Linked DNA regions of Schizosaccharomyces pombe. Changing the gene in region 4 together with the main gene of any one other region gives a genetic interaction. Each region holds a gene or a part of one and is shown on either strand. Other genes may lie near its edges.

Region 1 (6,122 bases), 1.3 Mb from region 4:
CTGGTACTACGTTGGAAGACTGAGGTTTTACCGGATTTCTTTCACCTCTAGCCTCGAAGTAATCGGGATCCGCATAATCCGGCAATGTACTTCGGCTAATGCGTTTATGCTCCAGATCCATCATTTATAAAAGAGGTTTTCATGAAAAATGAAGTTGTGTTTGAGTTACTTTACGTTTGCTGTTCGATTCCAACTGAAACACCGTGCATTTAATTGTGGAGTTGCTGGCCTTGGAGTTGTGTTCTGTGAAGGATGTAAACACTAAGTAGAGTACCCTATTTCTCCAATCCTCGTCATTATTACATAAATTTAAAACGTAGAATATGCCATGTAAACAATAAATTAAAGGTCGAATTGTCAAAGAAAAAATGCTCATTAAGCAGCTTGATAGCCTTATCATACCCATCAAAGTCTTACATCGCATTAATGATACTTCGATATGACCTGAAGATGGTAGTACAAAAAAATTGCTTTGGGTGTTTATAGCATTAGCGAAAGCGATACAATTTGGAACGGCAATGAAAATTTTTTTAATTCAATGTTTTAAGCTCACGCTAAGCTATCCATGGCGATATTCGCTCTAAAAAGCAATAAATTGCTTGAATATGTTTGAAATAGTTTATAAATAAATATATATATGTACATATTGTTGAAATAACAGACACCTAAACAAAAGAGATTTTTAGAAAGCCAGTTGTCTTTGGGATACTGCCTTACTAAAATAAGCAAAATACACTGTAGTTAATGAAATGCTTCTTGCCTTAATTCCAAAATTAATTTGGCGATTAACAGAATTTGGAACATCCCCTATCACCTCAATATTGCTTGGAATTCTGCTTCGCTAGAAATGAAACATAACATGATACCTAATTCACAGTTTAGAAGATCCGTCGTAAGAAATTCTCGTAAATATATATACATCATTCCAGGTCGAACTTCCAATATCTTCATTTTTTGTTAAAAGATCATGGTCATATTATTTTCATTCTTCAATAGCTATGGTTTTTTTCATGTTATTTGCGTAAGTAAACCAAATATAAGCAGTCGTCAAATATTAAGAAAACAAAATCTTCAGAAACCTTTTTAGTCCCAAACTTTTAGATTCTTTCATTCTTTCCTATGTTAATTTCTAGCTGAGCACTTTCAAGTTCAATCCATGGTTATAACTCTGTAGTCGGCTGTAACTTTTGATCAAAAATTTTTAATACTATACCCTTATCTATAGTCGTTAAAGAATTTCTTAAAAAATATACGAATTCTTTCAACACTTTTTACAATTGAATAACAATTTTTTATATTCATACTGCAATTTCATATGCAGGTAGCAATGTTACCTAAATTTTGGCTGCTTCTCAATACCATACACAAGTCCCTAATCATTTTAACCTTTCACCAAACTTCTGAAAATGGCCACTACTGTGAAAGATACTATGAATGTTGACATTAATGCTATTAAAAAGGGGTATGATTGCGGGAAATTGATTTTGAAAGTTCTGACTTTGTAGAGAAATTCGTATGGGTACCACCATCACGGCGCTCCGTTATAAAGATGGCGTTATACTTGCTGCAGATTCTCGAACAACTATGGGTGTGTATTGGAATATCAGAACTTTTCGTTCTTTGATTTCTAACGTTGCTAGGTGCATATATTGCAAATCGTGTCACTGATAAGCTGACTCAGCTGACAGACAATATTTGGTGCTGTCGCAGTGGTTCTGCTGCTGATACGCAAACTGTGGCTGATCTTCTAAAATACTATCTTTCCATGTATCGGTAAGTTACCCTTGAATGAACCGAATGACTGTAAATTAAGGCTGCTTTAGCTGGTTTATCCTTTAGAATAAACTATCGACTTACTCTCAAGTCCTTATGTTTACTAGATGATTACTAAAGCCTTTTTGCATGTTTTATTTTTCATTTTATTGTTGTTAAAAAAATTATCTAACGATTATGAAGTATTCAATTTGGCCATGACCCTAGTGTTCATACAGCTGCTACTTTAGCTTCTGAAATGTGTTATCAAAACAAAAATATGCTTAGTGCAGGTTTAATTGTTGCTGGATATGATGAAAAAACTGGGGGAGATGTTTACAGTATTCCGTTAGGTGGTAGTTTGCATAAGCAACCTTTAGCTATTGGAGGAAGTGGTTCTGCTTTTATTTATGGATTTTGCGATGCTAACTTTCGCGAAAATATGACCCAAGAGGAGGCTGTTGAATTTTTAAAGAACGCTGTTGCTTTAGCCATGGAACGCGATGGCAGCAGTGGTGGTACCATTCGAATGGTCATTTTAAATAAAGATGGAATGGAGCGTAAATTTTTTGCCATTGATACTGCTAACCCTATTCCCGTATTTACTCACTAAGTACTTCACGTTTCCTTTTATTTTACGTGACTATACTGATACCCAATGCTTATGCTAGACTTGACCTTATTAATGCCTGTCTCATTATTTGTAGCTTTTGGAGTGCAAGGTCATGAAGAAAAGTTACTTTTCTGGTCAGTGAGATAAGTCTTTGTGATGATTAAAATAGAAAGATTTTTTATAGTTACAGTTAACTACCGAAGTGTAGTTATATTGTTGATAGTGAAAGAATATTATTGTTATGAGTCCTATGTAATTGTCATAAGAGTAAAAATGTTGTAAGATGCCTGCAAGCACATTTAAAATTTTGATTATCAGCTTCATACAAGAAAATTGTAATCAGCCATGTAAAATATAAAATTAGTCCGAACACCGGTAGACCCTTCTAAAGAAGAATAAAATATGATGTGTCTTTTTTTGTTTAAAATTGAATGCAGAAATTATGTGAAAAGAACAAACTTTAACGGTAAGAATATACACGGTGAGATATGTATTAAGCTCTTCAACAGGTACACCGTAGTTACAGGTCAAGGAATGGAAGTGGGACAAAAAAATAATGAAGCATGAAAACATTAAAGATAAACGCCCCCCTTCATTTTTTATTCTACAACATAGTCATGAAAAGCCAGCAACTCTCCGAACGCTTTATGCCACTCGGCAGTCAAAATTTGGGGAAACTCCGTGTTGTCATATTCCCAAAATTTACCATGAGCAGCACGAAGATAGGGTAAGTCCTCTTCGGTGACCCAAACTCCATTATATGAAAAATCGAGCCTCGTCCAGGGAAACCAACCATATTTATTATAAGCAAGATTTAATAAACTTTGTTCCATCATTCTAGCATCGTCATACATATAAGGATAACGTGCTATCTTCTTAATCCTATGCATATGAAGACTACTGGGATGAACAAGCATCAGCCCGGCATTAAAAGTTTCAGATTCTTCTGGGGGCGTCGCATGTCCAGGGTTACGATCGTCACATGCGCCAAGAAGATATGGATAGAATTCTGAGCGAGGAGCACCATAGGCATCGAAATTGTCGCTAAACTGATAATCCTCTTCATCATCTGGCTTCTTAAAGATAGGAAAGCTAAACATATCGGGTTCTGCAGGAGATTCATAAACATAGGGAGTATCAAAAATGTCATCCATGTTTTTCAATACTAGGAGATCGCTATCCAGAATGCAGACCTTATCAAACTGTGTTTGCTCAAATACACTGAGTTTTGTGAACATGTATTGATAACGATAACTGCCCATGCCAATAGACAAACCACTTTCAATTAAGTCTTCAGTTTTAATTTGATCGACCATAATTATTTCGGCCCCATCAAGTCGCAATCGTTCAATTTTCCATTCATCAACCCCTTTCATAACAAGGACATGAACGGGATATTTACTTTTCGTTTCAGGATGATGTTTCAGCTTGTATACTAGTACTCGAGTAGCATTGAAGTATACATCATGTTCTGAAGTAGGAAGGGTAAGTAAGCCCATAAATGTATACCTTTTTAAATCATCTACATTATCGTTATAATATGGGCCATGCTTATGAAGCCCAAATTCATAGGCTGCCGATGAAATTAGCGATCCAGGAAATGCGGGATCCCGATATATTTGGATCCCTAAAAGTAAACCCAAATTCAGCAAAAGAATTAGTGAAATCAAGACAAATTTTGAGCGAAGTAGAAGCCTGGTATGTAAGCGTAACCGCTTAAAGAAATTCATATTCTATAAAGCAAATTTTATCGCTTTCCGCAACTTCGTTTATAGCTATAAAATCCCCACCAGAATAATAAAAACCCTAGGATTATAACTGACTATATCTCGTTAAGACTTGCTAGGTTTAATACAATAAATATAATGTAGTTTGTATTATTGAGTTTGGTAGTGGCTGACTACAATTTAGGAGACTAAAGGTACGATGTAATGCGTACGAAGTATAGTTTTTCATGTAAAATTTTAAGATTATTTGAGTTTACAGTACTTGTTATTTGACATTAAAAGGTTTAAAAAATTTATCAATTACTTGCTATTGATATTTTCTATCCCATCTTCACTCTATCTAAAACCAAGCCTTCTTTGATATATATATTTAAAACAACTTTTAAATAGATTTGCTACCTAAAACATTTTCAAATGTCTTATTGAAATCTAAAAATGAAAAACATGCTAAGGATACGTATGCTCACTAATTAGCAATTTTTATATAAATCCGTTGGTTTTCCTTTGGTCAAAGAAAAAGCATTTATAACATGTTTGCTTACAATTTTAAAATTGATGATAGGACTAACACTTGATTCTTTACACTAATTAGGAATTTTTTAAGAAGGAGCAAAATTTCTTGAAACCATTGAACTTTCAGTGAGTTTTAAACATACGTGATCTAATTTGCATACAGAGAGGAAGCTATTTTTTTGATTATGGTTTACCTGTATCCAGAATCCCATCGATCGTGTATATGAATTTGAATAGTATAGTGGTTTTAAAAAAGGACGGAGGAAACACAAATTATTTTAGAATGACTGTAAAAATGAGATAGCCTTTCAACAGTACGTGTTGTCAGCAATACATTAAATGAAAATAACTGCTTCTTAAAAGTCAAAAGCCGCCTTATTTTTTACTTGATCACGACATGAAAATTGCTTTCATCTGTTTAATATAAATCAGCATTACGTTGTTGGTCATGATACGTTTGCATTTCTTGAAACGCATCCCACCATAGCTTGGATGTGTCTTCATCATAACCTAGACTTCCTTCTGGTTGCCAATGTTTTCCATGAACTGCTTTTAGATATGGTAAGTCATTTTTTCTAGCCCAAAGTCCGTTAAAAGTCCAATCAAGTGACTCCCATGGAAAAGCACCTGCTGAATTGTATGCAAAATTTAGCAAACTTTGCTCCATCATGTTTGCATTATCATACAATTTTGGAAACCTTGCTAATGCCATTAACCTTTTATAATGTGCCTTCAATGGCTTAAAGACGAATAGACCAGCATTAAAATAATCTTTAAAAGGAGGAGGAGTTTCATGCCACATACCTGGATCGGACACAGCAGCGAAAACGTAGGGATAAAGATCGTCTCTTGTCAGCCCGTAAGCTGCAAACTCTTCTGTAAAGCGTCTCCAAAAAATGCTGCGCCTAGGCTTGTAGAATAGGGTGGGAGGAAACAGAACAGAATCCTTACTATAGGAGAGTTGGTGAACATCAAAAACTTTGTCCATTTTTTTAATAGGCAAAATATCACTATCAAGAAAACATATTCTATCATATTCGTACATTTCGAAAACTCTCAACTTGGTAAACATCATACTCCATCGGGAATCCAGTAGGGCAATGTCATTGACATCGTCAACCACTTCATGAGCATATAGTGGATCGACTACTTTAACAATAGCTCCGTCTTCCTGCAATTGATCAAGCTTCCACTGATCAATTCCCTTCATGGCTAGCACTACAACGGGATACTTGCTTTTCGTAGGTTTAAATTTGACAAGTCGGTGAACGAGAAGCCTAGTTGAATTATAATACCAATCCTGTTGCGTATTTTCTACTTCGTTTTCCCCATTAGCGGCGCGTACAGTAAGCATAGTTACAAATGCCATCTTAGAAGAGGGCGCCAACCCTGTCAGTGTGTAAACTGACCTTTGTATTTCTGGACTATGATTGTATAGCAAAACACATTGCCAACCTAATAAAATAATGCTCAAGGTAATCAGTAAACACAGTCCTAGTCGTTTGGGATGGCGAAAA
Region 2 (5,850 bases), 3.3 Mb from region 4:
AACCTTTTGCAATATCTCATCCTTAATTCGATATCTATTTTCCTCTTGCAACATCCTTTGTTTGCACCACTTTCGCATGCCATTGAGAGTCTCTATGGTTCAACCGATGCTGAAGCATTGGTCGCTACAGATGAGCAGGATATTTTAATGATATTGATTTGTGTATATTGTTTATCTATTTCTGAAAAATTACCTTTCTCAATTAGTATGCTTGTGGAAGGGTATCCAGCCGTTGCTAATCCAGAAGGTGTTGAAGTCTTTGAAATCTTGGATGAAATGTTTTTTCAACAATTTACAAACGTATTTGGGGAATCCAAGCATTTTAATAAAGAAAATGTTTCTTGGGCATTGCAATTGGTAAATGACGAAAGTCTCGACTTTTCTGGATTTACCTTTATTATTGCCCATAATTGATAAATAAAAATTAAGCGATTAATATATAATGTACGATGAGTATTCCAATATTGGGTTAGGTAAAGTAGATGACAAGACGTATTTTGATAAATGATTAAGGTGTTTAGTGTCTTTTATATACATAGGATGATTGTAGTGCATAGAAAATTAGGGTAAAGTTAGGTTGATCCAGTTTGCACAAGTTTGTATGGCCAATCATCAATTTTAGCAGCCACTATCCATTCACGAAGGGCTTCATGTAGCTTCTTATGGAATTTTTGACTAGATTTGTAAGTGCCTGCTTATATAAATATTGAAAAAAATTGCTTACCTGCTCTTTCGAAACCGTAACCCCATGATTCTTTCTAATCCACTTAGCTGGAGTTCCAAACGTTTTCTTTGACGTTTCTCTAAAGGTAAGCCTTCGAGTAATTCATTAATAAGATGGATGTGAGCTGCAACATAGCTGGTGGCTTCGGTTTCTATACCACCAATAAACCCCAATGGAGCCTCGTACACTTGATTATATTGTTTCTCCAAATCAATGACATTAGAATCGTGGTTCCACACCCAGAAGACATTACGGCTAACATCTTCAAGTTCGATAATCCAACGGCGAAAAGGTCGATCAACTCGAACGTTTTTTAAGAATTCAACCTCTTCATCCTTATCGTCTTTAATAGAAAACAAGGAAAAAACTTGCATTGCACCTTCTTCTTTGTCGAGATGAGCTTTGTAAAAGGAGTGAACTATTTGAACGAGTACTTCCCTTACGACAAAATCACATGGCTGTTTCTTTGAAAGCAAAAGGGAAATCAATCGCTCGACATTATAAGTGGATTGAGATAAACATTCCAATCCGCGCTAGGAAAAACGTTAGCAATTGTCAAAGGCAATGAAGACATAGGTCTAAATGTATATCACATGCATACCTGAACAGTGCACATGGCTTTAACGCAAAGTAAAAGTTGCTCCAGTATAGAATCGTGCAGTTCCTCTCTCCATTCAAGGCGAGAGATTTTGTCGATTGTACAAAATACTACACCGAAACCGCCGTTGTGTATAAACTTCTCTACCCATCTGTATTGCAGTTAGTATGAAAAACCTCAAAATAAACGAATGATTTATCATTCAATCAAAACAATAGTAGTGCCAAAAAAAAAGATAATTTAAGCATCACCACTTTGATTCACGTAGCTGCACAAAATGTAAACATACATTACTTGCTCGTTTCTGAGAAGTAGAGCTAATTTGTGTATGATAGATTCATCGATTGAGTCAATTTTTGTATTTACAATATACGAAATAAAGTCGTCAGGTTGCTCGTAACATGGTTTTTTACGCATCCAAGCAATTAATTTATTTCGCTTTTTCTGGTCTTTTTGCTGTAAACTGGACACGATTTCCATTTTAATTCCTTCATTAAGGGAAAGTAAACTCTTTGAGGCCTCTGAAGAAAGAACTTGAGGCTTGATTAAATCTTCAAAACATTGTGGCATTTCATCTTCAGAAGGGGTTGAAGGAGTCTGAAAGCTCAAGCTATCCTCTCGATCAGAAGAATTAACGCTTTCAGAGAGCCCATCAGAGCTCAAAGAGCGAGCACCTAAAAGCCGTTTTACTGAACGTAGAGAATTCATAATGTGTGTAAGGAATAGTCGTGTGGTATATTTACATAGAAATGGGAGGGCTGGTATATATTAAAATGGCACGCTGACGCGTCCGAGGAACAAGCCACAGGAACATGAAACGGACAATATCGGGAATTAATTCAATAATTAGGCTAATACGCGGAACGGTTGTTCCAATTTTTAATATGTACAATACTAAGCTATGGCCCTAGACTTAGGGAAGGAAAATAGCACATGAATGTTCGAAAAAAAAAAAGAGAAAGCTTCCGTTATTTAATAAACCATACTATTTACGCCTATCATTATTTTCATTAATAGCTATACATAGTAAATCCAACTTGCAAAATTTTGAGATTACGCGTGTTGAGTTAATGTTTGATATTGGTATATACACTATCGTATGTAAGTCAAATGAGAAGAATGGAAAAATAAGAATGTATTGAGCTTTAAGATATAGTAAATCTCGGTCTATTTTGGGTAAGAATTTTAATATGTACTTCTCAATTATCTGGAATTCACTGAAGGTTGTGAAAAGGAAAAATATTTCGGACATCCAAAATTTGCTATTATAATGAAGGTGCAACTAACTGAGTAGTAGAACCGATATCTAAAATAAATTGATTATTTGGAAATGTATGGTTAAACAAGAAGGCTCATATTACCTGAACTAACATAATGTCGTTAAAAATTACAGTTCAAAGCAGTGCTGAAATTATACTAGAATTCTGGTACATTAAAACGCGTCGCTTATAATAGAATCACTTCTTTCTATCAATAGATTAAACATACAATTTTGCTATTTCACGTAGGGATGTAGTAAAGTGAGAGAAGTAGGTGGGACATACATTTCCTACTCAGCACAACGTAACGTGCTTAGTGTCAATATCATGGGGACGAGTGGAATTGAAATATTTGCAGCTTTAAATGATTTCACAGATGGTAAGAGGCGAAAATAAACACATTGATTAACATTTTACAGCCATTGTTTCAGTCCCTGAATCAGTATGTGGAAAATTCACGAGTTTGAAAGAGATCGATGCACAAGTACGAGGTAAGTGAAATATATATTTTTAAAACGTGTGGTTAACAAAATCTTAGATATCCGTCAAAATGTCATACAGGAAATTGGTGTGGTTCTAAAAAACGAGAAAAATGACGAATTGTCAGGAGAAGAAAGATGTGAGCGATTACAAAAGACACTAAAAGAGATACTTCCATATTCTGATTCAAAGATTTGTTTGGCCACAGACGCAATGAATAATATCAAGAGTTGTATCGACCGTTTGGATGCTGGGTTTGAATATGTTGAATTGGAGATTCCCCAACAATTGAGATTGGGATATCCAGACGATCGAGCTTTAATGAATTATCATTCTACTGTGACTCCTCAAACTTCTGAAAGGAGACGGGAAACCCGTCGGCATCAAAATAACCAGCATTCCCAGCAATATTCCTCTCAGGAACGGTCGTCTTCATATAACAACTTTGAAGACGCTTCATCGCCGCAATCTTCTTATCACACCCCTACAAAGCGTCGAAAAAATGCTGTTCCTAGAAAATCATCATCACCTCCATTATCGAGTACAAAGCATGCGCCGCAATCTACGGAGAGGCGACCAGTGCGGAGATCAGAATCTCGTTTAAAACAGACAAATGGGGAACCACTTGTCAAACACGACACATTAGATTCAAGTGATATCAGCCGTGAAGGTGAGCAACTTTACTGTTACTGTCAACAAGTTTCCTATGGACAAATGATTGGATGTGATAACGAAAATTGTAAAAGAGAATGGTTCCATTTACCTTGCGTTGGTCTAGTAGAACCACCGAAGGGGATCTGGTATTGTAAAGAATGTGAAGAGTTAGCAAAATCATCTGAAAGTCGTCAATGAGCCGGGATCCTTTTTATTTTCTTTCACCTTCTTTTTATTGTTAATTTCTCAGTGTTTGACATCGTTATGAAACATCCATTACCACTGCTTGCATTGCTCTTGTTTACTGAATCAATTAAACTAACGACAACATTTCTATACCTCATAAAACCCTTATAACGATTTTTATGGTTTCGTTAAAGGATACAACCATCAGCTACGTATCTCGGTATACTATTTAATGATATGTAAAACTACGGTGTGTTTTGTTTGCAATCTACAAAAAGCGGATGCAATATGTATGAGTAAGTAATATTATAATTATTTTTATTAGAAATTTGTTAGTAACTAGTCATTGAAGTAAGGAAGCAATTTTAGGCGCAAACTTTATTAAATTTTTTCTTTGAATTTGTTTTGTTAGCTTACATACTTGTTAATAAATGGAAATTCCTTCATGCATGTTTCAAAAGCGAATTTAAATAGTATTCAAAGTAATGACAAATAGTGATACACAACATAGTGTATCATAGCTTAGTGCATTATTACTGACACACATCTATAGCAAATATATCTCTCTCGTTATTTTTTTAAGGATACCTCCTTGCATTACGTCTAAATGCTTTTACTAATGGATTTTCCAACTTATCGTTTCCCTCCTTCTCATCTAAAGTAATTCTTAAAATTGGGATTTTCTTGAATTTTAAATACTGTTTTTATTTGTGTTACAAAAAAGTTAATTAACAGTTTCTTGTCCAAATCTCGTTGAATTTTTGATCATCTGATAATGAAGTACCAATTTAACGTTGCTATGGCTTGTGATGGCTGCAAAAATGCCATCGATCGCGTTTTAACTCGTCTGGGTGCGTTTTAAAAAAAGTCATTTTTTAAGTATTTAGATTTACATTTATATAAGTATTTGTTATATATGGTTTTTCAGGAATTTTGTTGATGAATCTGTGTACTAATTAAGTAATGTCGAGTAGGTGTTGAAGACAAATCCATTTCGGTCGAAAAACAAGAGGTTATCGTTACCACAGACAAACCATATGAGCTCGTAGAACAAACGATTAAAAAAACTGGAAAGGAAGTTCGCAGCGGTAAAGTCCTAGAGTAGAGCATGGCAAAAATTACGACTTTAATCATATCTGATCGGTTCTCTCAAAAATATGCTCTTGACTTTTTTGTTGTCGCCTTATTGTTAAGATTTATATATACGACTAGACGAGGCTATTTGTTTTGTAGGATACAGCGTACTGCTTGAGCCTTTGGTGTTATTTTCCTCCAATAAATTGTGATAAACTTATAGACGTTTTCCGGTTCATTTCAATTGTCTTGGTAAGTTGAACCCCGCTTTACATGCCGTTTGTAATATTTATTGTGATCATTGTTTATTATCAGACTGCACTTTCAGTCATTTTGTTGCTATTTTTTGACTTAGGAGTTTTCACTTATTTTTTTTATTTTATTTTATACATTACATAGGCACCTCCAATTCAGGCAATAACTGTTTTCTCGGTAAATAATAGATTCACATTCATTTTAGCTACCTCTAATTGAGTTTACTCAACAATTTTGTTCGGTATATCGAAAACATAATGTAGTCGTGTTTATAAAATTACTATGAAATGAATATACATCACAAAGAGATATTAAATCTGGCGTAATTGAGATTATATTACCTTTTTCAAAGCTGATTTCAAACCGCTATCAAGCAAATTGATGGCATTTTTAAAAGCTGTTTGCATTTCCGCTTCTGCTTTATAACAATCATCGGACGTCCAAGCTTTACTTTTCTTATTTTTTGCAATCTCTTTTTTTAATTCAGTTCGCATTGCAGACAGCTGTTCTCGACTATCTTTTGCGTATCCTTCTAATACTTTGGCCAACTGCTGCCGACTTTCTAAAGTGGTTCGTTGTGGCTTCACCTCAATTGTTGATGCATTCAGCTTATTAGCTAC
Region 3 (6,143 bases), 1.3 Mb from region 4:
AGGGAGAAACCCTTGAAATTTCAAGATATCACAGTCAAATCATTGGACAAATAGCTTCGCAAGTTTATAAACCTTTGATAGATTATTATACTTCTTCACCACAAACGGCTACGCTTAGACGTTTAGCAGAGCGGTTATCAACAGTTGCAGAGGAGATGGCATCGTCTTCTGTACCTGGTCTGAAGGGATTAAAAAAAAAAGGCCGTGATGCGGATACTAAGAGTCAGAATGATCTCACTGCTTCTCGTGCAACCTGGGATTCCGATGCTCCTTTAGCGTTTGAAAAATTGCAAATTGTTGACGAGGAACGCCTCCTTATATTGAAACAAGTTTACCTGACAATTGCAAGTTTGGAAACTGATACGGCTCTTAAACAGCAAGAATTTTTTTCTAAATCTATGGCAGTTTATTCTGATCTACCTATTGAAGGTGAAATCCGTCAATTCATGAACTCCACATCGAAAGTTATGTCTTCCGCATCTGCTAATAAACCATCTAAGTCATCGGGCTTTCACATAAACAATGGAAAATCTAAAGAGGAAAAGAGTCATGGAGAAAATGAATCTGGTGGTAAATTGAAGAACAAAATGTCCACGTTGTTTCGTCGGAAAACCATAATGCCTAAAAAGGATAAGAAGCCTTCGCATAAATCTAATGGTCGCCCTAATAAATTAACTGCTTTTTTTAATAAGAACTCCAAAGCTTCGAGTATTTCGTCTGCTGAAGAACACCCATCGAATATAGATGATAGTTCAATCGAACGAAGACATTATGATTCCAATCATTCTTCACAAATTCGGGATCATCCCTCTACTAATAATAACGCTTCGTCTTATCAAAACTTTAATGAAACTTCCGACGAGGGCGAGGACAACGATGCCACTATTCGTGCAAACAATGTTCGCTCATCCTTTTTGGAGGCTCCGCTACCTGTGCAGCCTAATGTTCAAGCAGAAACGGTTACGCCTAAGATTTCCTCCAAGGCTTCCCCCTTTAATAAACCCAATTCTGTGCACTCTGAAGCCTCAAGAAATACCCCTTCATCGATCGATAGAGAGAATGCATCACATTCGAATCCTATCATGATGCATGGCAATGATTTTGGTGGGAACTTTAACAACATGCAATCACGATCAACAACAACGTCTCCCACATCAGCGGTGGCTTCCCCTGCGCCTACTGAAAACGAGGATAGCAATGCTGCAATTGAAAGGGTAGCAAATACTTTACGAAAGAATCCCACTATATCAAGAAGGACCCGTCGTGCTGGGACAATGGATCGTTATGCTACAGCATCGTCTGACTATATGGAATCAAACCTCGGTAGCTTGCCCAATTTGTCTACTTTATCATTACAATCGGGACCAGACTCGACTGCAACATGGCACCCTGAGTTCCCAAATTCTTCCGGGCTTTCTGCTTCAATCGTCGAAAAGTATTCTGGTGAATTATCTGAAGATGGCCTTCTTCATCCTTCCTGTTCCGGTCATATATTCATGAAATATACCTCGGATTTTAATACCCCTCCTCCTGAAATGGGTGTTCGCGTTGCGTCTGAATTTCCTATGTCTTTTACTCATTTAAATGACCATGCAGTAAAATATGGACCCTCAGAAAACACACTTTCTTTAATACCAGAGCTACTTCTCTCACCAATCAAAGTCACTGATTTTAATCTACATCTTGATAGTATTAACGGTGCTAGTTGCATTCCATTGACAGTTGTTCAGAAATGGAAGCATGATGAAAGCAGTAGTAGTATGATTGCATTTGTGAAGCCTAATCCTGTGTGGAGGAACTTAGGCTCATCTCTTCATATTGAAAAACTTGTTATCATCGTTTACTTGGGGGAAAATGTCCTTGTAAAAAGCTGTCAAAGTTCTCCGGCCGGAGAATTTAGCAGGAAAACTAGTAAACTTAAGCTACATCTTTCGAACATTAATATATCTTCGTCTGGATTTAAAATTTTAGCCAAGTTTGCGATTAGTCCTAGTGCTGCTATTAGAAAGCCAGTTATCGAGTTCCGTATTCGCATGGTTGATTCCTCTAATAACCCTGGTCTCACCAAATTGTTTTTGAAACCAGATATGTTTGATACTACTTCTTCTAGTGGAGGTTCTCAGCTAGAAAGTGCTTATGAAGAAACGAAGGTTCCTACTTCCTATGGTATTCATGTTCGTGAGTGCTCTGTTTTTGCTGATATGAGTTAAATTACTGTTCATTATTAGTCAAGAAAAAGCAAACTGCTTTTTTGGGTTTTATGTTTACACTTTTTTGCTAACCGAATTTTTTGAACATTGTATATATATATAAATGATTTTTAACCAGAGAATGTACAAATGTAAATAGTTATAGAATTTTGAATAAAGAGTTTCTCATTATTGTACGTACAAATGAGACATTGTTAAGGAGATTTTTTAGATTATTCAACGCAACTGAAAATACACTTTCTTAAATGGTAAACCTTAGAAGTTAGGCGAAAAATAGTGTCTTCAATTTAACGAATTCTATGAGACTGTAAACTAGTACAGTAAAATTATTATTGATTGGGGAACAATACCAGATCTACCTACCTGAGAGTAGCCAACAACGTGAAAATTTTAAAAAATGGCTTTGGGGACTAAGCACGTACTCCATCTCACAAAACCGTCTTCCAGGTCAAGTCCTTTGAACATTGTCATTGAACCAGCAGTGCTTTTTTCTATCCTTGACCATTCAACCCGGAAAAGTGAAAATAATCAACGTGTTATCGGTACACTTTTGGGAACACGTTCTGAAGATGGCCGAGAAATTGAGATTAAAAGTTGTTTTGCAGTTCCTCATAATGAGAGCAGTGAGCAGGTAGAAGTTGAAATGGAATATCATCGTGCGATGTACCATTTACACCTCAAGGCTAACCCTCGTGAAGTTGTCGTTGGTTGGTATGCTACTTCTCCTGATTTAGATGCTTTCAGTGCACTGATTCAAAATTTATATGCTTCTCCTGCTGAACCCGGAACTGCTCCACTAGGAACGTATCCTCATCCCTGTGTTCACCTTACTGTCAACACAGATGTTAGCAGTCCCCTTGCCATCAAGACTTACGTTTCTTCACCAGTAGGTATTACAGAGCGCCTTGCTGACAGCTGTGCATTCGTCCCTACCCCTTTTACCATTCGTGATGACGAGGCAGTCCGTTCTGGTTTGAAAGCTGTAGCTGCTCCTAAGAATGACCCATCTAGACTTGCTAGCCTATTCACAGATCTCCAGCAACTTCGAAGATCAACCTTGGAGCTTTTATCTATGATTGAAAGAGTTTCCGATTATGTGCAAAACGTAATTGATGGTTCTTCGCCTGCTAATGTTGCTGTCGGTAGATATTTGATGAAGTGCTTTAGTTTAATTCCTTGCGTAGAAGGCCAAGATTTTGAAAAAATTTTTTCATCACATCTTCAAGATGTTTTGGTTGTAGTTTATCTCGCAAATACCTTACGTACTCAAGTGGATATTGCTTCCCGTCTTAATTTGCTTCCCTAAGCAATTGTTATAACCTAAAAAATCCGGACAATTTCTAACAGTTGTTCGATAGCCCTTTTTTCAAGTCACCGTTATTTTATCCTTTTTTCACACTGGCTGTTAACCCTCAGTGGAAGCAACTGTCTTTATCTCGTCATTCACCCATTTCGACATAGTTTGAGTAGCTTAGCTTGTCGGTAACTATTTAGTATTATACTATAATTGGTTTAGGTTAAACGTCTTATTAAATAAGAGAAAATTTTAAGTCAGAGTCATGTATCTTAACATTTCTTATAGTTAAAATAGTAAGCTTGTTTAATTTTTAAACATTTGATGTTTTTACGTTATAAAGTCGATTTAATTATGTTATTTGTTTTTCAGGGTGTTGAGTTTGTTTTGGTATTGAAAGTAAGCAAAATGTGTATGATGCACCAACAAACATTAAGGGAGTATGTAGAGTAATTCTCTCCGAAAGCACCACCATTTTATAATTTGGCAATCAATTGCCATTAAAATGCGTTTATATTTTAGTGCTTTTCGCCATCCCAAACGACTAGGACTGTGTTTACTGATTACCTTGAGCATTATTTTATTAGGTTGGCAATGTGTTTTGCTATACAATCATAGTCCAGAAATACAAAGGTCAGTTTACACACTGACAGGGTTGGCGCCCTCTTCTAAGATGGCATTTGTAACTATGCTTACTGTACGCGCCGCTAATGGGGAAAACGAAGTAGAAAATACGCAACAGGATTGGTATTATAATTCAACTAGGCTTCTCGTTCACCGACTTGTCAAATTTAAACCTACGAAAAGCAAGTATCCCGTTGTAGTGCTAGCCATGAAGGGAATTGATCAGTGGAAGCTTGATCAATTGCAGGAAGACGGAGCTATTGTTAAAGTAGTCGATCCACTATATGCTCATGAAGTGGTTGACGATGTCAATGACATTGCCCTACTGGATTCCCGATGGAGTATGATGTTTACCAAGTTGAGAGTTTTCGAAATGTACGAATATGATAGAATATGTTTTCTTGATAGTGATATTTTGCCTATTAAAAAAATGGACAAAGTTTTTGATGTTCACCAACTCTCCTATAGTAAGGATTCTGTTCTGTTTCCTCCCACCCTATTCTACAAGCCTAGGCGCAGCATTTTTTGGAGACGCTTTACAGAAGAGTTTGCAGCTTACGGGCTGACAAGAGACGATCTTTATCCCTACGTTTTCGCTGCTGTGTCCGATCCAGGTATGTGGCATGAAACTCCTCCTCCTTTTAAAGATTATTTTAATGCTGGTCTATTCGTCTTTAAGCCATTGAAGGCACATTATAAAAGGTTAATGGCATTAGCAAGGTTTCCAAAATTGTATGATAATGCAAACATGATGGAGCAAAGTTTGCTAAATTTTGCATACAATTCAGCAGGTGCTTTTCCATGGGAGTCACTTGATTGGACTTTTAACGGACTTTGGGCTAGAAAAAATGACTTACCATATCTAAAAGCAGTTCATGGAAAACATTGGCAACCAGAAGGAAGTCTAGGTTATGATGAAGACACATCCAAGCTATGGTGGGATGCGTTTCAAGAAATGCAAACGTATCATGACCAACAACGTAATGCTGATTTATATTAAACAGATGAAAGCAATTTTCATGTCGTGATCAAGTAAAAAATAAGGCGGCTTTTGACTTTTAAGAAGCAGTTATTTTCATTTAATGTATTGCTGACAACACGTACTGTTGAAAGGCTATCTCATTTTTACAGTCATTCTAAAATAATTTGTGTTTCCTCCGTCCTTTTTTAAAACCACTATACTATTCAAATTCATATACACGATCGATGGGATTCTGGATACAGGTAAACCATAATCAAAAAAATAGCTTCCTCTCTGTATGCAAATTAGATCACGTATGTTTAAAACTCACTGAAAGTTCAATGGTTTCAAGAAATTTTGCTCCTTCTTAAAAAATTCCTAATTAGTGTAAAGAATCAAGTGTTAGTCCTATCATCAATTTTAAAATTGTAAGCAAACATGTTATAAATGCTTTTTCTTTGACCAAAGGAAAACCAACGGATTTATATAAAAATTGCTAATTAGTGAGCATACGTATCCTTAGCATGTTTTTCATTTTTAGATTTCAATAAGACATTTGAAAATGTTTTAGGTAGCAAATCTATTTAAAAGTTGTTTTAAATATATATATCAAAGAAGGCTTGGTTTTAGATAGAGTGAAGATGGGATAGAAAATATCAATAGCAAGTAATTGATAAATTTTTTAAACCTTTTAATGTCAAATAACAAGTACTGTAAACTCAAATAATCTTAAAATTTTACATGAAAAACTATACTTCGTACGCATTACATCGTACCTTTAGTCTCCTAAATTGTAGTCAGCCACTACCAAACTCAATAATACAAACTACATTATATTTATTGTATTAAACCTAGCAAGTCTTAACGAGATATAGTCAGTTATAATCCTAGGGTTTTTATTATTCTGGTGGGGATTTTATAGCTATAAACGAAGTTGCGGAAAGCGATAAAATTTGCTTTATAGAATATGAATTTCTTTAAGCGGTTACGCTTACATACCAGGCTTCTACTTCGCTCAAAATTTGTCTTGATTTCACTAATTCTTTTGCTGAAT
Region 4 (6,708 bases):
CATCTGGACGAGCCCTGTGTATCGCACTATGTATAACATAGCCAGCACGATTGATGCCAAAAACATCACCCGTAACACCAGGATGTTTGATGTTTCCATCCTCATCAACCTTAATAAGACTACTAGCGGTAATTTCACCATATCGTAAACCATAAGGATTAATCAGAAATGAAGCGGTTCCATCAGGTTCCTCAACCTTGGCAGTCAAATGATTTAGAATATTCTCATTCCAATGTTCTAAACCAAAAAGACGATATGCCGCAGCTAACTCAATACGCGTAGCAACCTCTTCATCAGTGAATTCATGCAGACATGACTTTCGGAGCATTTCACGAACGGCAATCGAGCTAAATTCCGGTTTAGGAGCGTAGGTTTTAGGATCAACTTTTGAATTTGTGGCTAGTCCTCTCGTAAGGTTTACTCCAGTAATTGCATAAGTAGAACGCAAACTATTATTTATGCATTTTGCTGCATTTTTCAAAGACAAAGGGGTAAATTTTTTGCTAAGCATAATTGGAATTTGATATAAGGTAAGCAATCTAAAATGCAGTTCTAGCCAGTCGTTATGTTAATGAAAGACCTTTAAAGTAGTAGAATAAAAATTCAAATGAAGGAAAAAGTGAATTAGAATTTATTCGCTAACGATGTTGTTTTAATGAAAGCAAGCTTATATTTATATTATTTTTCAACGTCATAGTAAGTGCCTAGAATCCTTTACATTTACTGAAATTCAAATTGCTTTGCCGAAATATTAAACTAATCGTAATAAAACACCATTCGAATGTAAAATTTTTGATGTACGTTATCTACGTTGCCGCGTAAGAGAGTAGTCAAGAGCATGCTAGTGTGTGATTTATTATGTTAATCTAGAATGAAATGCTACAATATTACTAAATCTCGAATGCGATATATAGAATCTCAAATTCAACCATATGCCCCTCATTCATAAATTCATTCTCTATATTTAAAAAAAATTAGGTAAATTATATTAAAACGTTAAATTGAATGACTAGCTTGAAAGTTGAACTCGCTCATCCAAAACTATTATGACTTTTAAAGCAATATTATCATATTTTTCGACCATATAGGTATTATGTGATTGGTTGATTGAAAGGCTGGTTGCTGATTGGTTTCGTTACACGAATATTATAATTTGACGTCACATTACGAGAGATATGAGAAGGAAAGAGAATAACATGTTCCACTAGGGAAACAGAATAGCTATGAGTACCAGTGTATAACGATATTTTGAATTTGTTGAATTCATCATCACCGTTTATTTTGGTATCAGTGATGGATGATAATTCATGGCATTTACTAATATGGGACGACATATCGTACATTTTTACACAAGTAACGGACATGAGCGCAAGACTGAACACAAGAATTAATGCTAACACCTCATAAGAAAAGTTAACAAGGTTGAGGATTGCTCTATTTCTCTTACTTTTTTTTAATCAAGTACTAACTCTATAGTGTACGTGTCAGTGGCTATTAACTCCCAATTCATTTAGATGTCATCCGGAATTAAAAAACGGATAACAAATTTCGGATAATGACTAAATATTGTTCCAATGTGGCACCTCAACTTTTGTACCATCGCTCTCATCCCTTTGCTATATTTCCGATATCCGGTTGTTTTACAAAAATTAAACAAGGGATTACTCGTCAACAACATACTCAACATCAGGTTATGATGAAGTTGTCGTTTGCTTAGCGAATTTTTGCTTGAGGTATACAATTTACTCAGTCCCTTCATTGGCTTTATCAACATGCCATAAATTAGTTTAAAAAATAATTTATCGTCATTACAATATCGGTATATTAGAATATAATTATATACTTTTACTATGAAATAATATTCTGTCTTATTCTCTTAAACAAAATTGCTTTGAAAATAAAAAAAATGATTGGCTGTTTAAAAATACTTCAACCGTAATATTGTATTATTGTAAACGAATATGTAGTGGTATAGCAATCGAATCTGGGGCCTTTCTATTGGTTAAGTAATTGAATAATTTTAACGGCCGATCCGTGAATCTTTATACCATAACAATTTTTTAGCTAAAGACACGGAATCGAAACATCGCTAGGTGATGAGTTAGTAAAGAATAAATATGGCTGCAATATTAAGCATGGAGAAGGACAACAACTCCATATTTCTTTGATTTGCTAGTTAAAATCTAAATTGCTATTGGTAAAGTACACAAAAATACAGTTATTGCTGGGCAAATTTTAACGTTATCATGAAATAAAAAATCAGTTCTAGAAAATAGTTACGACTTTCTTCGAAGCTGCAAACTTAAATTCCAAGAATACTTTGAATAGTCTCTGTAAGGTCTGAAGCGAATTCCAAAATGCTATCATTTGCTTTTCTGAGTACAATTATCGCATATATATTAAAAATTTAAGGTGTAGTGCATCCAAAAAAAAAAGAACGATTCCAACAGATATATTAAAGAATCTTAATTTATTGATACTTACATTCCGATTGTGCAAACTAAAGGTTAGACTAATATTCTTCTCAAAAAATTATACAACAATAAAAAGTGAAACCGATAAATTGAAAGCGACGCTTTGCATTTTAATTTAAAAATCCAAGCACTTCAGAAAAATGTTTGCCAATGCAGCAGAAGAAAAAGCATCAAAATTGAAGTATAACGAGGTTTTACAACGTTTAGAATCTCGTTAATCACAAACGTTTGATATATCGAGAATTCTTCTTGCTTCATTACGATATTTATTAAGTTAGCGATGCATTTTGGTATCTGTTTTAACGATAGTACTGCAGTGAGTTTTCCTTGTGATCTATTATATTGCAATAAGAAGATAATATAAGTACCATAAGTATAGGTATTCTGTTAAGTAGGTTATATAGTTACCTGTCACTAATACTGCTTATAACTAAATCTCGCTCCTCAGTTCATGTAGCTCTATTTAATAATCTTTCTAAAATATTTTAACAATGGGAATCCATGTGTATAAAGATAGTTATATATAATTATTGATAAACATATCTTAACTGATAATCCAACATATGGCATATAGTGATACTGTAACGTAGCGCATATTACGTAGTGTAGTTATGCTAATATATTATAAGGAATAGTGAGTCATAGCGTATATACTTATTTGAAATGTACTAAATTTCAACGCGTACATGCTTTCCTTCCCTTCATTATAACTACATCAAAAGTTTTAGTAGCTTTCCTCTAAAGCACTTAACTGAATGGTAACACGAGAATCGGTCGAAAGTTTATTTTATTTTTTATAGGTCACTCTCTATAAAACCTTGTATCTCCACTTTACCGCTACGTTCATTATATTTGACATACACTCTTTCAGGACACTTGGTGATTATTGCTTTGGGTAAATAGGGTATATTTTTTGGTGTTAGTAAACGATAAGATTAAAAAGGTACTTTAAATTGTCTCGCCTGCTATTGTGAGCATGTGTGTGCTGTGAAGTGCCTACGAACATCTACCTCTCACATTCTGAACTTATCTAACATCTTAGTTTAGGCTAAGTATTTTATAAGAAATCTTAGCTTTTATTGCATCAATTTTTAAAGAAGGATATTTACACCGCTCTTTCTTTTCTTCGCTATCATTTTTATTATCATTGGTATTTTTTCATTACTTTGAACATATTTATTTATCCAAGGATTGGTCAATTCTAATTTCTCTTACATACTTACAATGCGTTGGTATTCTTATGTTATACCAGCAGTGATCCTCAGCATAATTGCTATTTCTGGAGTATGGTGGAATGCTACCCTTGGTACTAGGCTCGACCAGAAAGTACAACTTTTCTTAAATGAACATTCTTCAATTTTGAATGCAGTTTACGAAACAACTACTATCGTTTACACAGAGCCATTACACACCAGTGTCAGCGAAACGATTACATCTACGTCTTTTGTTACAGAAACTACGACAGTAACCCCAACGGTTACTGCCACAGCTCAAGAGTTAAGCACACTTAATCCTCATCCTGAAAATTCTAAGATAGTCCTTTTGATGGGTTCCAATGCCCAAAATGACCCTTCCTCACCCTTAAATCCTTATATTAGAACGATTATTAAAAATCGCCGCGACTATGCAGAACGTCATGGTTTTAAGTTTGAATTTTTAGATTTAGATGAGTACAAACCTTCAATTGGCGACAAGCCTGCCCCTTGGGCTAAAATTCCCATGATTAAAAATGTGATTAGAAAATATCCAGATGCTGAATGGGTATGGTGGTTGGATCACGATGCTTTAATTATGAATCGTGATTTGAATCTGGTTGATCACATTTTGAAGCATGAAAAGCTAAATTCTCTTTTATTGCGCGACACCGAATATTTTAGTGGATTTGGCATTGACTCTGAAGGATTCCGAACACCTAAAAATCAAGACCCTGATGATATACATTTTATCATTGCTCAAGATTTTAATGGCATTAATGCTGGCAGTTTTTTAATAAGGAATTCTGAAGTAGGAACATGGATGCTGGATTTTTGGAATGAACCACTTTATAAAGAACATAATGGTGTATTTGTCGAACAACAAGCCCTTTCTCATATGATATATAGTCATCCCATTGTGCATAAACATGTTGGGCTAGTTACTCTTCGTTCAATAAACGCATATGATTCTTCTGATCCTGCTTGGGGATATGAAGACGGTGATTTATGTGTTCATTTTGCTGGGTGCTTTGTCTTTCAGACATGTGCACAAAATTTTGAAAAGTATGGCAAGATTATCACAGAAAAGCAAGGCCATGATTGGTTCGATCCATCCGAAAAGGAATATATTGAACAACGCCTTTTCCCTCAACCTTAATCAATACCTTGTTATTCTTGCTATAGTGCTTTATATTTATTCTATTATTAATCTATGCAATGATCAGTGCTATATAACTCTAATTGTAAATATAATATTTACTCTATTCATCTGTACGATCGGTTGGTGTTATTATATTACTGGTTATTATTTATTTAAATTAATGCATACAATTGACCTAGCATGATCATGGTTCCCAGCTTTCACTATGACTTAACCTTGCATTTACGATACAGTCGGATAATTCAGTCTTAATCTTCTTGCGACGCTTATGTTCACTAAATTAATAAGCACTCCTAATTGATTAATTAAAGAGTTTGATTCATTTTATATCCAAAAGGATGTTCAATAAGCAATTACTGGCTAATCGAGGACAATTTCATCAGTCGTGAAATTTCAAAATTCATTTTTGAATCTTTGTCCAAGATCAACTTGTTTTGAATGTAGATTAGCAGAACTTTGATTGCGGTAATTGAATCAAGTAGGACAGCTATCGGTTTCATTGATTAAACGTTATGAGACAAATAGAGCTGCCGGAGCCAGAAAGAGCGATGCTCTATAAATAACTTTCAATCGTTCAAGCATTGTTTAACTTGAAGGTCTCAGCAGTCCAAAATTTATGATAAACAGAATATGAATGCCTTGTAGAATATTGTAATAAGGGTTTAAACATATTATCTAGAATCCATTTTGTTATATTAGTTTAGCATTTCAAGTTATATCAAACCCCCCATTTTGTTTTTTGTCATTTGAAACACCTTTTAATAAACGACGAGTATACTTATAAGCAATTGCTATCAAGAATAATTTAGAGAATATATTCGACCAAAGGTCCGATGGATTATAAAATAATTATTTTTGCAGGACACAGTATTTGCTATACAAATAAAAATTTATATTGGATTAAGATCCTTTTACTTTACCAAATGATGCATTGCCTTGCAGCTAATTTCTTAAGCTTGTGAGTAATGCACGGGTAAAAGCATAGTTGATTCAGCATCTAAACGTGAGTTTACGGCTTCACACATTGCCAGATAACTATCATTCAAAATATCGGGAGGTACAGAAAGATAAGGATAGTCAGAACCATTTTTTAAACCTGGAGGAAGCAAAGGTGCTGAAGCAGTATGATTCCAGGATTTTGCATAATACGGGTTGATGGGAGAAAACGGCGTAAAGGGATTGTTAGGTACATCCTTCATGGAGGGATATACAGGAGCAGCAAGGGCCGGCCAATACGTAGATTGCTTGGAAGGTAAAAGAGCCATCGAAGGGGGCCTTGCCCAAGAAAGCTGAATCCTAACACCATGCAAAGGGAAATTGTTCATTTCGTTAATTGCCTGCTCAGCAAAATATCGTTGAGCAAAGACTATGCGTCCACTATTATTATTGACTTGAGTGTATAAAATCTCACCAAAGTGGAGGAAATATGATCGTAGCTCTTGTGTCGTTATATTTTCGGGGAGTTGGTGAACATAAACTGCTGTATTGTTTGGATCAGTAAATTGATTTAGTGGTTGAGGTGTACCATAAAACCCAGGCGAACTTAAGTAAGTATTTTTATCGGATTTGACGGAATGAACTAATATAGATCTTTTTAAACAAAAGGCACCCTGCATCTCTACCTGCGCGTTTTGTATATCACTTTCATTAGCTAACCATATGAAAGCAATGCTAGTTGAAGTCCCGTCAACACAACGTAGAACACGAGCAGAAATAAAGTTATAACGTTGAAACAAGTATTTTATATCATTTTCAGACACTTCTGGATCAATGTTACTAATGAAAAGCATATAGTAACTAGGTTTTTGCCATTCAGGAACCACATCTAAAGAGATCGGGTTCCCAGATATTAATCGTTGAGTAGATTGCCTTTCTAAAG

What was found.
Region 1: mutations in gmh6 (region 4) and otg3 impair growth when combined (synthetic growth defect), as found in Schizosaccharomyces pombe (one study listed by BioGRID).
Region 2: of gmh6 (region 4) and png2, changing one enhances a phenotype caused by changing the other (phenotypic enhancement), as found in Schizosaccharomyces pombe (2 studies listed by BioGRID, with this or other methods).
Region 3: mutations in gmh6 (region 4) and otg2 impair growth when combined (synthetic growth defect), as found in Schizosaccharomyces pombe (one study listed by BioGRID).

Annotation. Positions count from the first base shown.
Region 1 is NC_003423.3:3,116,263-3,122,384, forward strand, and holds otg3 (alpha-1,3-galactosyltransferase Otg3), read right to left. Parts: upstream 4,264-6,122; 5' UTR 4,096-4,263; coding exon 2,965-4,095; 3' UTR 2,575-2,964; downstream 1-2,574. Other genes in the region: pdk1 (serine/threonine protein kinase Ppk21/Pdk1), read right to left, coding at 1-124; proteasome core particle subunit beta 1 Pre3, read left to right, coding at 1,407-1,462, 1,506-1,588, 1,641-1,773, 1,957-2,365; alpha-1,3-galactosyltransferase Otg2, read right to left, coding at 5,024-6,122.
Region 2 is NC_003423.3:1,119,008-1,124,857, reverse strand, and holds png2 (chromatin modification family protein Png2), read left to right. Parts: upstream 1-2,896; 5' UTR 2,897-2,908; coding exon 2,909-2,960; exon of another isoform or gene 2,961-3,000; coding exon 3,001-3,072; exon of another isoform or gene 3,073-3,119; coding exon 3,120-3,913; 3' UTR 3,914-4,197; intron 4,198-4,253; 3' UTR 4,254-4,276; downstream 4,277-5,850. Other genes in the region: ribosomal lysine methyltransferase Set10, read left to right, coding at 1-414; GTPase-binding protein Rid1, read right to left, coding at 573-675, 725-1,257, 1,326-1,473, 1,612-2,030; Cu chaperone Atx1, read left to right, coding at 4,677-4,752, 4,876-5,006; translation termination factor Rrf1, read right to left, coding at 5,563-5,850.
Region 3 is NC_003423.3:3,120,271-3,126,413, reverse strand, and holds otg2 (alpha-1,3-galactosyltransferase Otg2), read left to right. Parts: upstream 1-3,965; 5' UTR 3,966-4,009; coding exon 4,010-5,128; 3' UTR 5,129-5,643; downstream 5,644-6,143. Other genes in the region: cytoskeletal protein Syp1, read left to right, coding at 1-2,210; tif306 (translation initiation factor eIF3f), read left to right, coding at 2,608-3,516; alpha-1,3-galactosyltransferase Otg3, read left to right, coding at 6,057-6,143.
Region 4 is NC_003423.3:4,406,179-4,412,886, reverse strand, and holds gmh6 (alpha-1,2-galactosyltransferase), read left to right. Parts: upstream 1-3,180; 5' UTR 3,181-3,698; coding exon 3,699-4,826; 3' UTR 4,827-5,602; downstream 5,603-6,708. Other genes in the region: SPOM_SPBC1289.14 (adducin), read right to left, coding at 1-511; U1 snRNP-associated protein Usp109, read right to left, coding at 5,780-6,708.